Linked DNA regions of Diceros bicornis minor. The protein of the gene in region 1 interacts with the protein of each later gene in a biochemical or structural test. Links are inferred from orthologs where the notes say so. Each region holds a gene or a part of one and is shown in the gene's direction. Other genes may lie near its edges.

What was found. The genes of interacting proteins can lie anywhere in the genome.
Region 2: the proteins of UBE2D2 (region 1) and HECTD1 form a complex in vitro, tested with the Homo sapiens proteins (2 studies listed by BioGRID). The link is inferred for Diceros bicornis minor from reciprocal best matches to the Homo sapiens genes UBE2D2 and HECTD1.

The regions. Positions count from the first base shown.
Region 1 is NC_080740.1:57,893,952-57,901,826, forward strand, and holds the start of UBE2D2 (ubiquitin-conjugating enzyme E2 D2), read left to right. Parts: upstream 1-4,821; 5' UTR 4,822-5,077; coding exon 5,078-5,101; intron 5,102-7,875.
Region 2 is NC_080744.1:17,489,338-17,497,377, forward strand, and holds the start of HECTD1 (E3 ubiquitin-protein ligase HECTD1), read left to right. Parts: upstream 1-5,006; 5' UTR 5,007-5,092; intron 5,093-5,525; exon of another isoform or gene 5,526-5,656; intron 5,657-6,333; 5' UTR 6,334-6,465; coding exon 6,466-6,605; intron 6,606-8,040. UniProt on the Homo sapiens protein: E3 ubiquitin-protein ligase which accepts ubiquitin from an E2 ubiquitin-conjugating enzyme in the form of a thioester and then directly transfers the ubiquitin to targeted substrates.

The DNA.
Region 1 (7,875 bases):
ACAATACAATAAATTCTGGGAGGCAGAACACACCCTAAATCTTATATAACAAGAGAGAGCAGCTGTACAAAAAGAATGTAAAATCAAGTACAATTCCTCTGGTAAACCACTGTTCTGATTTTTGACCATGAAAAAATGAGCAACTTCAAACTCACAAACCTAGCTTTCCAAGGAAATAGATTAGCCTCTACTGGTCGCACTATCTTAAAGAATCTGGAATGTTGGGGACATTCTTATGTTTTAAAACTACACCTTAGAAAATATCACAGAAAGGGATCATACTGATGCAGCTAGAAAATCAATTCCTGGTTTACCTAATACTCCTTACTCAATCATTCTAATGAGACACAATAAACTCTCCTATAGGGTTGCTGAGATCCAAAAACAGGGAGTTCCCAAATTGCTTGGGTTGTACTTTTTGCTCAGCCCACGCAATCATCTGCCTATGTATATTAATGGAAATGTCCTCCTTATCATTTAATCACAGCTGTCAGCTCTGGGAACACCTTTGCCAAAGGAAAACCTTTAAATACTATAATGCTTGCAGTATTGGGTTAACAACCAAGAGGGGAGATCAAACTCCAAGAACATGCAGTGTGCTCACAATTTCAGAAGGATAATGGAAGGTAAATTGAGGGCTCTAAGATCCATGTAGGGTGAGCGGGAGGAAAAATCACCCCAAGGAAAAATCTATTACATAAGAATACCTACAAATTCTGCATACTCTTAAAACATTTTAATATTGTTTTATTATATATATATAATTTTCATGTAATATAATGCCCAGATCTTTAATGTTCAGTTCCATGAGTTATGACAATTGTATATATATACAATTGTGTAAACTCCACCCAAAACAATGTATAGAACACTTCCATTGTCCCAGAAAATTTCCTTGATCCCTTTCTTAACAAATCACCTCCCAAACAATGGCAGTCACTTTTTTTACTTCAAACACCACAATTAATTTTGTTTCTGGACTTCATATAAACGGAATTATACAGTTCATATTTTTTTGTGTCTTTCTTCTTTTGCTTGAATAATCATTTTGACATTCATCCATGTTGTTGAGTGTGTCAATAGTTCATCTTTTTGTGTTGTTGTAGAATTCCATTGTATGAATGTCATAATTTGTTATCCCATTCTCCTGTTGATGGACATTTGGGCTATCTCCACTTTTAGGCTATATATGAATAAGGCTGTTATGAACATTTGTGTACAAGTCTTTTTGTGGACATATGATTTCATTTTTCTTGAGTAAATACCTAAGAGTAGAATTGCTGGGTCATATGGTACATATATGTTAAATTTTATAAGAAATTACCAAACAGTTCTCCAAACTGGTTGTACCATTTTACACTCTAACCCGCAATGTATGAGAGTTCCAATTGCTGTGCTTCCTTGTCTTCACTTATTGTTGTCAATGTTTTCGATTTTAGCCATTCCAGTGGGTGTAAAATGGTATCTCATTATAATTTTAATCTGCGTTTCCCTGATAACCAATACATTCCAAAGTATCTGAAAATAGCCCTTGGTCGAAGAATAAATCACAGGGGAAATTAGAAACTATTTTAAACTGAATGAAAATGAAAACAAAACATAACAAAATTGTGGGGTGCAGCAAAAGTAATGTGCTTTTAATGCTTTATTAGATAGTGCTCATATTAGGGGCCGCCCCGTGGCATAGCTGTTAAGTGCGCGTTTGGATCCCCGGGGCGCACTGATGCACCACTTGCCAGGCCATGCTGTGGCGGCGTCCCATATAAAATGGAGGAAGATGGGCACGGATGTTAGCTCAGGGCCAGTCTTCCTCAGCAAAAAGAGGATGATTGGCATGGATGTTAGCTCACGGCTGATCTTCCTCACAAAAAAAGAAAGAAAGAAAGTGCTCATACTAGAAAAAAGGAAAAGTGTAAAATCAGTGTTCTAAGCTCCTACTTTAAGAAGCTACAAGAACAAATTATATCCAAAATAAGTAGAAGAAAGAAAATAATGAAAATAAGAGCATAAATCAATAAAATAGAAAATGGACAAACAACAGAGAAAATACAAAGTCACAAGCTGGTTCTTTGGAAGAATTAATAAAATTGATAAATCCCTAGCAAGATTTATCAAAAAAAAAAAAAAAGCAAAAAACAGAGAAAACACAAATAACCAACATCAGGTATACAAAAAGAGATATCATTATAGATGCTACAGACAGTAAGAGGAAAAATAAGAAAATATTATGAGTGACTTTATTCTAATAAATTGGACAAGTTAAATAAAATGGATAAATTCCTTGAAAAACAAATTATCATAGTGGACACAAGAAGCAAAAAGAAAAATCCAAATAGTCTGAAACTCATTAAAGAAATTGAATTTATTATCAAACTCTTTCCACAAAGAAAACTCCAGGGCCAGATGGCTTCATTGGTGAATTCTACCAAATATTTATTTAAGGAAGAAAAAAAATAACAATCCTACACAAACTCTTTCAGGACACAGAGGAGGGAACACTTCCCAATTTGTTTTATGAGGCCAGGATAACCTTGATATGACAACTTGGAAAAGATGTTACAAGAAAAGAAAATTATAAACTGATATCCCTCATGAACATAGATGCAGAAATCTGATTACTATTTGATGCAGCAATTTCATTTCTAGGAGTTTATCCTAAAGAAGCACTCTTAGAGTTGTACAAAGACTAACTACAGGATATTCATTATGGCAATATTTTTAATAGTAAAAATTGGAAACAACTTAAATGTCCCCAAAAATGTGACCAGTTAAAATATAGTACATTTATATAATAGAATATGTGGCCATTAAAATATGGTAGAAATGTGTATTGGCACAGGAAAATTCACTATATATTGTTTATTTTAAAAGTAGATTACCAAAAATTTCAGGTGCTTTTACCACACACACACAAAACGTGAGGAGATAGATATTTTAATTATCTTGACTGTAGTAATCATATCACTATGTTTATGTATATCAAATCATCATGTTGTATACCTTAAATATATACAAACTTTATTTTAAAAAAAGAGGTAGATTACCAAATAGTATTATGGCAAGATCCTACATTTTTCAAAGAAAATATGTATTTATATGTAAGGAAAAAAGACTTAACTAAAAAAGAAAAAAGGGAAGGATATAAACCAAATATCAAAAATGGTTAGGGGTTGGATGATGGGAGTATGGTTGACTTTTATTTCCTTCCTTTTGCCTATCTGTATTTCTTACAACAAATATATATTGCTTTTCTAATACAAAAAAAATTATTGTTGAAGAAAAAAATTTAAAAATCTGACCAATGGGCATTTTTGTAACTCTCTCATCATATTTCCTAGGAAGAAAAGATTTGGGGCTGTGGAATGTTCCTCTTCACCTCCAACCTCAAATATACCCACCCTGGACGACTGGATACAGTTTTCCCCTCTTTGACTCACTGAGCCCACGGCGGCCCTGCCCTATCGGTCCATCCTTCTCTGTTCAGTAGGTGAGGCAGTATAAATTTTGCCACTGACCTACCGTATGACTTTTGGGAAGATCCTTCCCTTAGGGGCTCCAGTTTCTCCTCTCTAAATTCAGGAGATAGAATCAAGGATCTTCAACGTCCCTTTCACATGGAGGAAAGAACACAGCTTAAGAATCAGAAAACCTCGGGATGCACTTGAGTAGGTGGCACCATCTCCCGGGAAAATACTCCTTACTATTCTCCCGTGCAAGTGTCTCCAGCCAGATAATAAGCAACTTCCAGCCCAGGCGTGGTCTTATACCTCACTGGTCCTGGTGTAGGGATCGACACAGAGTGGTTGCTCAGTGAATCAGCTTTTTGCCTCCACCTCCTAAAAAACAACTTCAGAATAGGTTTTCTAGGGTGCTCCTGATGGTGATATGAAACACAAGGTTGTTTTAACTACTGGAGCTCACACTGTGTAAGTTTTTTCTGAGGTAATTGGTACAGTGCCTGTTTGTAACAATTCACCAAGCTTCAGCGAGGTCTGGGCACCTCTCCTACGACTGACATGCTGAGACATTGAAGTTGTCATTCAGGTAGCACCTTGGTTGGAAAGGCCATCTCAGGGCTGCCCGTGGCAGGCTCCAAGAACCACATTCCCGCAGGTGCCTAGGCTGTTACCAGGCGGCTTCTGGAAAGGGATCTGATGAGACCCTAGACTTCGGGGAAGTACCAGCTTTGCCACCGTGGAGCTGTGTGACCTTGGACAAGTCCCTTTCTCCTTAGGGAACGTTGCAACGGGCCTAAATGGCTCTTCCCGGGTCGGTCTATGCTGTGGGAACGGTCAAGTGATCTGGCAAACATTCGCCTTCAAACGTTTATTAATCTTCGATGACACGCGCGTGGCGGACCAAAGACCAGGTACTCAAGGGTCGCAGCGCGCAAACATCCACGACCCCGCGCCACGGCTCTCGCGAGATCTCCCTGCGCTTCGCGGCGTCATCCTCCAAGCGGCCGTGGCGGCGACGGCGCGTGAGATACTCACAGGGGTAGCACGTATCCCTCCGCCGCCGGCGCGGCCCGGCCCTCCTTCCTCTGGCCCGCCAATCCCCGCGCCTTCCGACCTGCCCCTCGTCCTGGGCCCACCCCGCGCTCCGACGGCCCCACCCCGGCGGCGCCGCCCGGCTGCGCGCCCGCGCGTCTCTTCGTCCACCTGCAGCAGGCAGTCCCTCTGGCTGGCCGACCGAGAGGCGCCGGCCGAGCCCCAGGCCTCGGCTCTTGCTCCCCGGCGGAGGGATCCGCGGCGGCTGAGGAGGCGGCGCTGAGCTTTAGAGGAAGAGGCAGCTACGGCGGCGGCGGCGGCGGCGGCGGCGGCGGCGGCGGCGGCGGCGGCTCGGGTGGCAGCACATAAAGGGGCCGCCGCCGGGTGATGTGGTGACCGCTGCGGCAGGCTCAGGAGCCAAGTGGGCCCCGGCCCTCAGTTCGTTCTGCCGGACCCGTGCTCCCGAACTCCCCATCTTCTCCGGCCGACCCGCGATCACCGAGGCGGCCTCGCGCCCCCTCGCCCCTTCCCCGTCCCTCCCCTGTCCCCGTCCCCGCCCCGGGGGCCGCCGCCACCCGCCTCCCACGATGGCTCTGAAGAGAATCCACAAGGTAAGCGGCCGGAGGTCGGCTGTGGGTTCGGGCCTCTGGGCAGGCCAGCTGAGCAGGCTGCGGCCTGCACTTCCCGCCGTCGCCTCCGCCGGGCTCGCGGCCTCTTCAGACCCGGCTGCCGGCGATGGCCCCGCCGGGCGGCCTTCACACCCCACTCCCAGTGATGGCGACCGCGGAGGCCCCGGCGCGCAGCCCGCTCTTAGGCCGGAGGTGCTCGCCGGCTCGGCGTTCCTCCTCGGCCTTCTTTCTAGGCGTTGCGTGGTATGGAGTCTCAGGGCCTCTCCTCGGCCTGGGAGTGCTGCACTGGGAGGCCATTGTCCGGCCGTGCCAGGAGTGGGGGCTGGGGCTGGGGCTGGGGCGTTGGGCGGCCCCATCGACAGAGGTCGAAAGGGCTTCTATCCCATCTTTGCCGGTTCTCCTTCTCCCGTCCACCTGCCCTGGCTCCTCCACAGAACCGCCTGAGCTTGGGGCCTGTATCTCAGGCAGACGGAGGAAACCTTTTTGTGCGATCCATAAGTATTTCTTGAGTTCACTTAGCTCTTGGCGGCCGCACACTTTTATCCACTCTGTTCGTCCAGAAACTGTTAGAGTAGGAAGTTCAGAAGGAAAAAAATATGACTCTTTTGAGGGAGGAGGGAAGTAGAGAGAGAAGCGTTTTATTCCTTGAGGTTGCCATATGTAGTCAGAAACTAACACTTCAGTTTTGCGGGAATGGATCTAATAGAAAAACTGTTCAATTGATAAGGGTGGAGGTAGAAACCTGAGCATTGAAAACCACTGGAGAAATTACACAAAGTTTCTTTTGACAGTCTCTTCACAAAATGGATCTATCTTAACGCTTAAATTAGATGATATGTTTAGGGAAACCCTTTTAATTTGGAAGGGATTTTGCTAGATTTTCCATTAGGCGGGATTTCTTTTACCTTTAAGATGAAGGGTTGTTCATCTAGTTATCTCCTAGTGTATGGACTTGGCTTAAAATTTAGCGCCCCCCACACACACCTTTTAGTGCCTCTCAGTATCACGTTTTTTTCCGTAGAAGTGAGGAAGCACCACTGGTGATTTTTGTTTGGTGTTTCACTTGGCTACTCGGAGAGGTTGTATTAAATCTCTAACCACTTAGTAAGAAGTAGATCCTGGGATCATCCATCCTCAAGGATGGGATGGAAATGCAAGGGGAAGAGAACCAATTTTCACTTTGCGTTACACTCAGTGAAAATGCAGATTGTTGGACAGTGTAAACACCTCAGCTCAGCAGTTGGTCTTCATTTCATTCTTGCTCAAAGACCGTTAATGTGGAAGTAATCCCAGTGGTTACTGTAAATTAGGTTAGATCCTTACCAACTTCTTTTGACTTTGATTTCTAACGAATGGAAAAGGGCAGACGTTAGAGTAAATCTTGTACTAAAATGAAACAGGTTATTTGTTAAAAAAGCTTGAACCTTAACCAAAGATCTCTTAAAGAACCATTTAAGGGGCAGGAGCACACTGAGGAATGGTCATCCAAGTAACAATATGTATGCATTTTTAAGGCTTTTAGTAGTTACTAGGCTCTTATAGAGTCTAATTGGGAAGTTATCAACTTGAGATCATACCTGTAGAAGATTGTGCTCTTATTTTAAAACCTGAAGAATTGTGAGTATAATGTGTGATAACTTACATATCAAGAAATGTAGCCTTTAATCTCTACATTGATTGATAGGTGTGTTTTTTCAGAGAGAAATAGCACTCAAAACATGCGTTTTAGTTTTTTAATATATTTTCTCCCAATAATATGGTTTTTTTTTTTGAGTTACTACATAGTCACTAGATTGTCTCTAAAATATGCCCTTATAAAATTTTAATACAGAAAATCAAGTTTAGATAGTGATAATTTGAACCTTTAAAACTCAGTAGTAACCTTTTTTCTCCCTGGTTTATAACCTGGAGCCCTAATCAAAGTATGGCTTGACTTCTGAGACTGCCAGGAATTAAAAAAAATAAAATTTGTTTTTGGTGTACTAGTCAATAAGATTGTGAAAACAAAATGGAGATCATTTTCTTTTTTCAGACTTTTTGTATGACATCAATTATAAGTTGAATGCAGACTGACATAGGTATGAATAAGACCAGTCATATCTTATCCTTAACCTAGTAATCTATCTATAATGGAATCCCCAAAAGACTTACTTTAATTGATCTTAGTCTTGAACCTTCCCACTTATCATTCTCTGAAAAAAATAGTTCTGCTTAAATACCCTCTCAACTTTAGATATCATGAACTGTTGCCTCTGGGTTCTAATAAAATTTTGCTAAGAACAAATACATTTTACGTGTCATCTTTAGGAATTCAATATCTTGTTTCTTTGACAGAGGGAAATAGTGTTCTGTGAATTTGACAGTCCTTTTAATGCCGTGTCTTTTTTGGGAAAAACTTTTGATGGATTTGATTTTGATACACACTTTTAGTTCTCCTGACCTGTGCTTTAACAGAGTGTACCAAAGAGAGTCATTATGAACATCCAGTATAGGTCTGTGCAGGGATTGGGACCCTTTGGGATTATTTGTATCTATACTAAGTGGCCCCAGCCTGCTATGTTTTGAGGTTTTCTGCTGACTTTGTAGGTCTTCAGCTTTGATTTTGATGCTTTGAGTGTCTGCCTCTAGCAGCACCACCCCCAGCCCTTTTCCAGTTGGTTGCATCTCATCTGTTGTGGGCTGGGAAACCAGATCACAGAGCTTATTAAAATTATGTCTAAAATAAGATCCAGTAGGCTCTGAGTGAAGAGAGCTTC
Region 2 (8,040 bases), on another chromosome or scaffold:
GACACCATCAAGAAATTGAAAAGACAACCCAAAGAATGGGAGAAAATACTTGCAAATTATACATCTGACAAGGGACTTCTATTCAGAATACGTAAAGAATTCTTACAACTCAACAATGAAAAGACAAAGAACCCAATTTAAAAATGGGCAGAGGATCTGAATAGACATTTTTCAAAAGAAGATGTATGAATAGTCAATAAGCACATAAAAACTGCTCAACATGGTTAGCCATTAGGGAAATGCAAATCAAAATCACAATGAGATACTACTTCATACCCACTAGGATGGCTATAATAAAAAAGACAGATAATAACAAGGTAGAACCCTCATACACTGTTGGTGTAAATGGTACTGATGCTTTGGAAAACATTTGGTAGTTCCTCCAAAAGCTAAACTATGCGGCTCAACAATTCCACTCCTAGGTATATACCCAAGAGAATTGAAAACATATAAGTCTACCAAAAAATCTGTACATGAATGTTCACAGCAGCATTATTCATAATAGCCAAAAACTGGAAACAACGCAAATGTCCATGAACTGACGAATAAAGACAAAGTAGAATATCCATACAATGGAATATTGTTCAGCCATAAAAAGGAAGGAAGTTTTCACACATGCTACAATATAGATGAACCTCGAACACATACTGGTGAATGAAAGAAGCCAGATATAAAAGGCCACATACCATTTATATGAAATATCCAGAGTAGGTAAAAACAGAGAGATAGAAAGTAGATTAGTGATTTCCAGGGACTAGCGGTTGGAGAGAATGTGGAGTGACTGCCAATGGGTATGGGATTTCCTTTTAAGGGTGATGGAAATGTTCTGGAATTAGATAGTGGTAACTGATGCACAACTTTGTCAATATACTAAAAGCCACTGAACTGTACATGTTAAAATGATGAACATCATGGTATGTGAATTATATTTCAATAAAGCTGTTATTAGAAGTTTATATATACATATATGTGACGTGTACACATATATGTATATATAAACTTCATATACATATATACTTATACATATAAAAATATATACACTTGTGTATACATATTATGTACACATCAGAAAATTGAATATAAGCCTAAAGAAATTGAATAATAGGGCCGGCCCCATGGCTTAGCGGTTAAGTGCACGCGCTCCGCTGCTGGCGGCCCGGGTTTGGATCCCGGGCATGCACCGACGCACTGCTTCTCCGGCCATGCTGAGGCCACGTCCCACATACAGCAACTAGAAGGCTGTGCAACTATGACATACAACTATCTACTGGGGCTTTGGGGGGAAAAAATAAATAAATAAAAAATTAAAAAAAAAAAGAAATTGAATAATAAAAAACTTTGAAATCACAGTCATGATGATTTTCAAAGAAAAACTAGTACAGATAACATTTCCTTGAAAGCTTGGTGGTTAATTTCCTTGGTCAAGAAGCTCCCTGCCTTAACCTCTAGAATACCTCAGTATATCCACATTCCCACGTTAATAATACATACATCTAGTCTGCGGGTGTTATCAAGCCATTTGCATTTACCTAGTAAATCACACACTATTCCCCAGGCTCCACATTTACATTAAATTCCGATTTACGTTCCTGGGTCTTAAAGACAAGGATTCAGATAATCTATGGCAAATGACCTCCAGGGAAGTAAAAGATAATTTTGGTTTTGAATGACCTAGATGGATTTGTCTCCTAAGCAGCTTTACTTGAATAACTGCTCACCTCTCGAACTCTGCTATGGCAGACACATAATCTCTGAGAGTAGAAGTTTAATCCTCATGGCTGAAGTAAAGCAGCTAGTTTTCCAGGCTCAGCTAATTTAAACCTGGCCCTCAGGCTTCTTTAGCTAGCTGATAAAAGGGATCAAAACGATTCCCTGAATAACACGTGAGTTTGGATGGGGATGGGTAGATGAATTTTGGACTTTGGTGATGTAAGAAGTCCAAGAAAAGGGCTTAAGACTTGTTTAATGTCATACTAACTTCATATTGTTTACTAATATGATCACAAACTGTAATATATATGATTTTACATGTTTATGCCTAGAAAAAAGGCCATAGAAACGTTATCAAAGTGTTAATGACAGTCTCACGGTGGTAGGTGATTATTATTTTTTCTTTTTACTCTATTGGAATTTTCCATTGGATGCTTTTGATACATAAAAAATTTAATGCCATATAGTTGTGTTATCCATAAGATAATGATTTATTTAAAAAATTAATTTATAGTAATGCCTGTGGGTGGGATAAGAGTTTAAATGTAAATGATGAATCTCTTCCTTCTTGATCTTGTGAAAGGACTCTAGTGACTGTGTGTATATTGAAGATCCTTCGTGAAAGTGAGGCCTACCTCAAAAGGTGGCCTGTTCCCTCTGCTCGCCCAAGAGGAGCCCTCTTCATACTTCCATGCCTCTCCACATGGTCTTCCTAATGGAGACCTAATGGAGTTGGTCTGGCTAGCTCCAACTCAACATCTGAGATCCAGCCCGCGCATCATTTTCGAAGCCTTCTAAGACACCATTACCTCCTTGATGTTTCCAGCGTACCTGACAATGTTATGGGATAAGTACTATCGTAGAGGCCGACACGGGAAGTGTGTTTACATCTACCCTCTCCTAGACTTTTATAGTTTATTGAAGATGAGGCCTATGAGTTACTGTGCCTGGCACATAAAAATTCTCAATGTCCATTATTCTTAGATTTTAACATTGAGGTGGATTATTAGCATGTAAACATATCCTGGTTTCCTGGGATATAGATTCAAGTAGGGGCAGTATTGCCTTCATCTGCTTCCTCTGTTTTCTTCAGGGCTTAATTCCTTTCCTTTAATGCTCTTGTTCTAGGATCTCATATTTGAATTTAAGATAATAATGTCATAATAAAATCACAATAAAAGTCACAGCATTTTCTTGATAGATTTCTTTAAAGCATACCACAGTCATTAATTTTGGGGGGGGGGTAGGAAGTGGGTGGTGCAGATAGAGATGGTGAGGGAATAAAGGAAAATATACCTTCAAAACTTTGAAAAGTGTAGTCACTTTTTCCAACTTCTCTATTTTCTGTTAATAGCATCATCATTTCCCTAGCTTCCAAGACCTTTCTGCAGGTTAAAAAACTAATTGAAGTTAATCATTTAAATTTTGACATATCTTTAAAAAAAATTTTTTTTAGATGTATTTCTTCTCCATTCTTATTGCCAGTAACTAGGCTCTTCCTCCATCCACTATTGGAGGATTTCAGCAACCTCTCAGCTAATCTCCTTGTCTAGGTAGCTCCTTTTAGCCACTGGACATTTTTGCCCTAGAAATCTTTCTAAGACTTAATTTTTCCAGTCAATGTTCTAGTCCACTGTTACTAGTAACTTGTAGTAACTTGTTACTTACTCCAGCCTAAATTCTGCATTCAGCATTCAGCATTCAAGGCCCTGCTTACTTTAGCTGCTACCTTCTCTCCCTCCCATTGCTTAATGCAGGTGCTTTGCTTGGGGCACAGGGCCTCTTTCCTTTGTCTCAGAACATACCAGGCTTTGTATTCTTCCCCCTCCCTGTAGTGTCGACATTCTACCCATTCTTCAAGGTCCAGAAAGAATGCCACTTCCTCCTTGAAGATTTTCCTGGCAGCTCCAAGTCATATTCATAGCTCCCAAATAATTATTCTCATGTGTTGTAGTTGTGACAAGTTAGTAGAATCCTCTACCTTTTTCTCCTGACTTGATCTGTTAATAGGTGACCTAGGGACCATTACCTGCGACAGTAGCACATGTGCCACAGATATGTGAAGTGCAAATCTGTAATTTCCAAAATACTGGTTCTTCAAGCATATGCAGCAGCTCCTCCGATTGCTTAAAGGAATACATCTCAAAGACTATCGTGTAAGATTCATTTTTGTTTAAAAGATGAAAAAGTGAGAGTACAGCGGGAGTGTCTGAGGCATGGATTTACTTATCTCACAAACCAAGGGATTCATTTTCTTATTTGACTCACATTTCCAATTCATTACAGCTTAAACACCTCCAACCACGACCTATAAGCAGGCATATTTTATTTTCAATTCGTGTAAACTAAAACGTTTGAAGGGAATAACCACGGACACATTTGAGACCTCAACCCGCAGAAAAAAAGAGTCAAAAGCACACTCAGCGCTGCTGCTCACTGGGGACGCCAGTGGAATTTACGGTTTCTGGAGCCTCAGTTCTCCCATCTGCACAATGGCGATAACACTCGATAATATTTACTTCCGAGGGTTGTGGTGAAAGCTTTTCTTCCTGGCGAACTGCGGCGCGGTCTGCTTTTCCTCTCGCGACGCACTTCCGTGTGCGCGAGGCCAGGCGAGGCCCGGCGGGGAGGAGGCGACGCTCTTGGCGGAGGACCGGTCGCCGCGGCCGGAGGCTCGGCCGGCGCGGGTTGGGCCGCAGCGTTGGCGCGCAGCGTGGGGCCTTCGGCGGGAGCACGCCAAGTGTGTAGACGCCGTGCAAAACAAGCGGAGCGTGCGCGCGCCGGTGTGCGCGGGGCCCGGGAGCGCGCTCGGATTGACAGCGAAGCGTAAAGGCGCCAGGGCATCGGAGAGACAAGCGACAGCTGGCGAGGCCAGCGAGCCCGAGGCTCGGTGGCCAGAGCGCCCGGGCCGGCGCCCCCGCGCCGCTGGCCGACGGGTCTCCGCAGCGCCCCTCGTGGCGGCCGGCGGGGTCGCTGCCAAGGAGCGTCGCTTTGCTCCGCCCCCGCCGAGCTCGGCTGCCCTCCGCAGCCTCCGCGCCCGGACCCTCTTCCCTTCCCCCTCCGGAATCGCGATGGACGCGGCCTCCCGCCGCCGCCGCCGCCGGCAGCACCGCGCGGGCCTCTGAGCTGCAGGGCCTGAGGAGCCGCGTGCTGGGGACGGGAAGTGCGCTGGCGGCCGCCGGTCGGGGGAACCTCTCGCTTGCCTGTCACCGGCTCCCCGCGGAGGAAGGGGAGGGACGAGGCGCGGCTTTTCCTGTGCCGCCTGCCCGGCTCGAGCTGCGCGGCCTGCGGCTTCCTGGGAACTCGAGGGCCGCGGCCGGGCCTGGCTCTGCCCGCGGCCTGCTCGGAGCTGGACCGGAGCGCTTTGGGACGACAGGCCCGGGTAAGAGCCGGAGGGGAGGGAAGGCGGGAGCGCCGTGGGCGGTCGGAAGGGCCAGGCCTGGGGCCGGGATCCGGGGATGCCCGGCGGCGGGCCGGGAGCGAGACCCCGGCCCCGGGTGAGGGCGGCGGGGCTGCTGCCGACTCCCTGGCTTAGCCCCTTTGTTCCCCTCCCCCGGCCCTGCCCGCGGCGGGGCCCGGCTTGCCTGAGCCCGGGCCCAAGACGGGCCCCCCTTGCCCTTGAGAAGGGTTCGCCTCCCGGCCGGCCCGGGGACGTCCCGCCGGGCCTCGGAGTTCCGGGCGCCGCTCGGCCCGGAGGCTGGCTGCTTCTCCTCCAGAACTTCCCCTCCTCCCCGATACGGGGAGCTAACTTAGCGGGGTTGGTGCCGGGAAACCAGGGCGCGGGGCTTCGCCTCCCGGCGCGGGGCTCGGCCGGGCCCGGGGTGTTGGGTCACCCTGCTGGCCGCCGCCGTTGGGTGCCCACCGCGCCCCGCCGCTGGAGTCCCACACCTGCAGCTGGGTACGCGGGCCCCGAAGCTGTCCTCCCGCCGGGCGCTTCCGAGCTTTTGTAAGCACTTGCCTGTTGGGGCTGCTTCTCTGTTTTGTCTCTTTTCTTAGCCAACTGTCCCATTCTGTAGAGATGGGGAGAGAGGGCCGTAGATTGGCCTATACTCTGATCCGTAACGTGCTATTCCCTTGCATTTGCTCTTAGTGATTCTTTTTAAACTTTTAAGAACAGTTGCCAAGACTGCCAAAATTCCTAACCAAGCCTTTAGTCATAGATAGATTTGGTGTCTAATTATCGTTTGTATGTGGGGTGGACATCTTAAGAAGAGCGGTAAGTTAAGTCGTCAGCAGGTTTTGTCAATTTTAAAGCAGCAACTTAATTTGAAGGGGGATTGGATCAAAGTGCTTAGTTTCCTCAAAATACTGAATCTAACCCTTATCTGAAGATCTGTTTTGGGTTGGACGGGAGAAGTTTGCTGGAAAAAAAAGAACCTTTAGTAAGGTGTTCTTTGCCTTTTGGCACAGAAGTTAGTGATAGCAGTAGTGGGATCCGAAGCTTGACTGACAAAGACTGCTCTGGTTTCCAGTTAAGCAACAACCTAATCAGTTTATACTCTTGTGCAAAACTGGTTTTTAGTTAGTATGATAAGTGAACGGTAAACCTGAGGAATAAGGAAAGTTGAAAAACTGCATTAAGCGCTCTATCCAAACATACTTATGAGTTTTCTCTAATTCTAGGAGGACACCACGAAAATTTGGTTCTAGCTGATGTAAAAGAAAACTTTTTAAACCCAAGCTGATCAGTCCTGGACATTTAAAGGACTTTTTACTTTACTTTTTTAATTTAAGCAAAAAGGCTTTTAAAAAACCATGGCAGATGTGGATCCAGATACGTTGCTGGAATGGCTACAGATGGGACAGGGAGATGAAAGGGACATGCAACTAATAGCCCTTGAACAGCTATGCATGCTGCTTTTGATGTCTGACAACGTGGATCGTTGTTTTGAAACGTAAGTACATCCCTTCATCATCTTCCTTTGGGGTTACTGTAGTGCCATCTGTTTTCAACCATTTGCTGACTTCAGTTTGTGAGGAATTTTCTCTAGTGAGTTTTACAGCTATCTTTTTAAAAGTTTCTGCAGTTTTGCAGTTAAAACTTTTCTGAGAAATAAAAACTGGTAGGTGAAGTAACTCCAGTAATGATAATTGTGATGACACAAATACACGTTTGTTGAATGAGTAGAAATTAGTAGAAAATACTAATTTTAATGCATAGCTTGGTTGATTCATTTTCAAAATATGTTATGAACTGGGAAAATATAAATACTTATCTTCTTTAAAGGTAGCTATTTCTGTACCAAGAAATTGACTTGAAATTTTTGGCGTGAAAATACAGATGATAATAAACTTATGTTTTATGACTGCTTGTTTCTTCCTTGGTGTTAAGTCATGACGTTGTACTTTTGTTAAAGCAAATCATTGGTTTGTAAATTTCAGTTTGGAGGGTATAAGTTGGATGTTACCCAAATAGCATCCTTTTGGAATAGTAGAAACAGATTTTGAAGTTTGGAGAGTTTAAACGATTTTATTAAGAGGTTATAATGTAGAATTTGTGCAGAAATGTAAAAGAGAATTCGTCACTGGATTGGCTATTAATGCCATGTTTTTCCTCTTATGTAATACTTGTTTGATTAACCATTCTTCTGAGTGCTCAACACGTTTCGTTTTTACTGTTTATTTTATATTTGTATTTATAATTGTGAATTCCAGTTATAAGTAAATGAAAACTCAGATGTTTCTGTATTTTAATGCTATTTTAAAGTATTTAGTAGAAAATGCTTGAGATGTTGACATAAAATTTGGTATAATTATCTTAATTTTTTTGAGGTGGAAATAAAGGCTGTATTACTAAATTAACATTATTTTAATTGTCTTCATTTTTGAATGAATAGTGAATGGAGATGAATTGATAAACAATAATTCTTAGCTGTAAATCTCATTAAAACAGTACTATTATGATAAAAGTCTTTATAAACAGTTGCCAAATCACAATCTGTTAGTGTCCCATTTTTTTGTGTGTGTGAGGAAGATCAGTCCTGAGCTAACATCCGATGCCAATCCTCTTTTTTTTTGCTGAGGAAGATTGGCCCTGGGCTGACATCTGTGCCCATCTTCCTCTACTTTATATGGGACACTGCCACAGCATGGCTTGACCAGCAGTGTGTCAGTGCATGCCCGGGCTCCGAACCTGCGAACCCCGGGCCACTGAAGTGGAGTGCGAGCACTTAACCACTGCGCCACCAGACTGGCCCCTGTTAGTGTCCCATTTGTTTCAACTAGTTTTTGTTATTGACAAACTTTGAGTATATAATAATTTAGCCCCTCCATTGACACTTGTTTTAGCAGGATGCGTGGAAAAGTGAGGTAGATTTTTGAGTATTCATA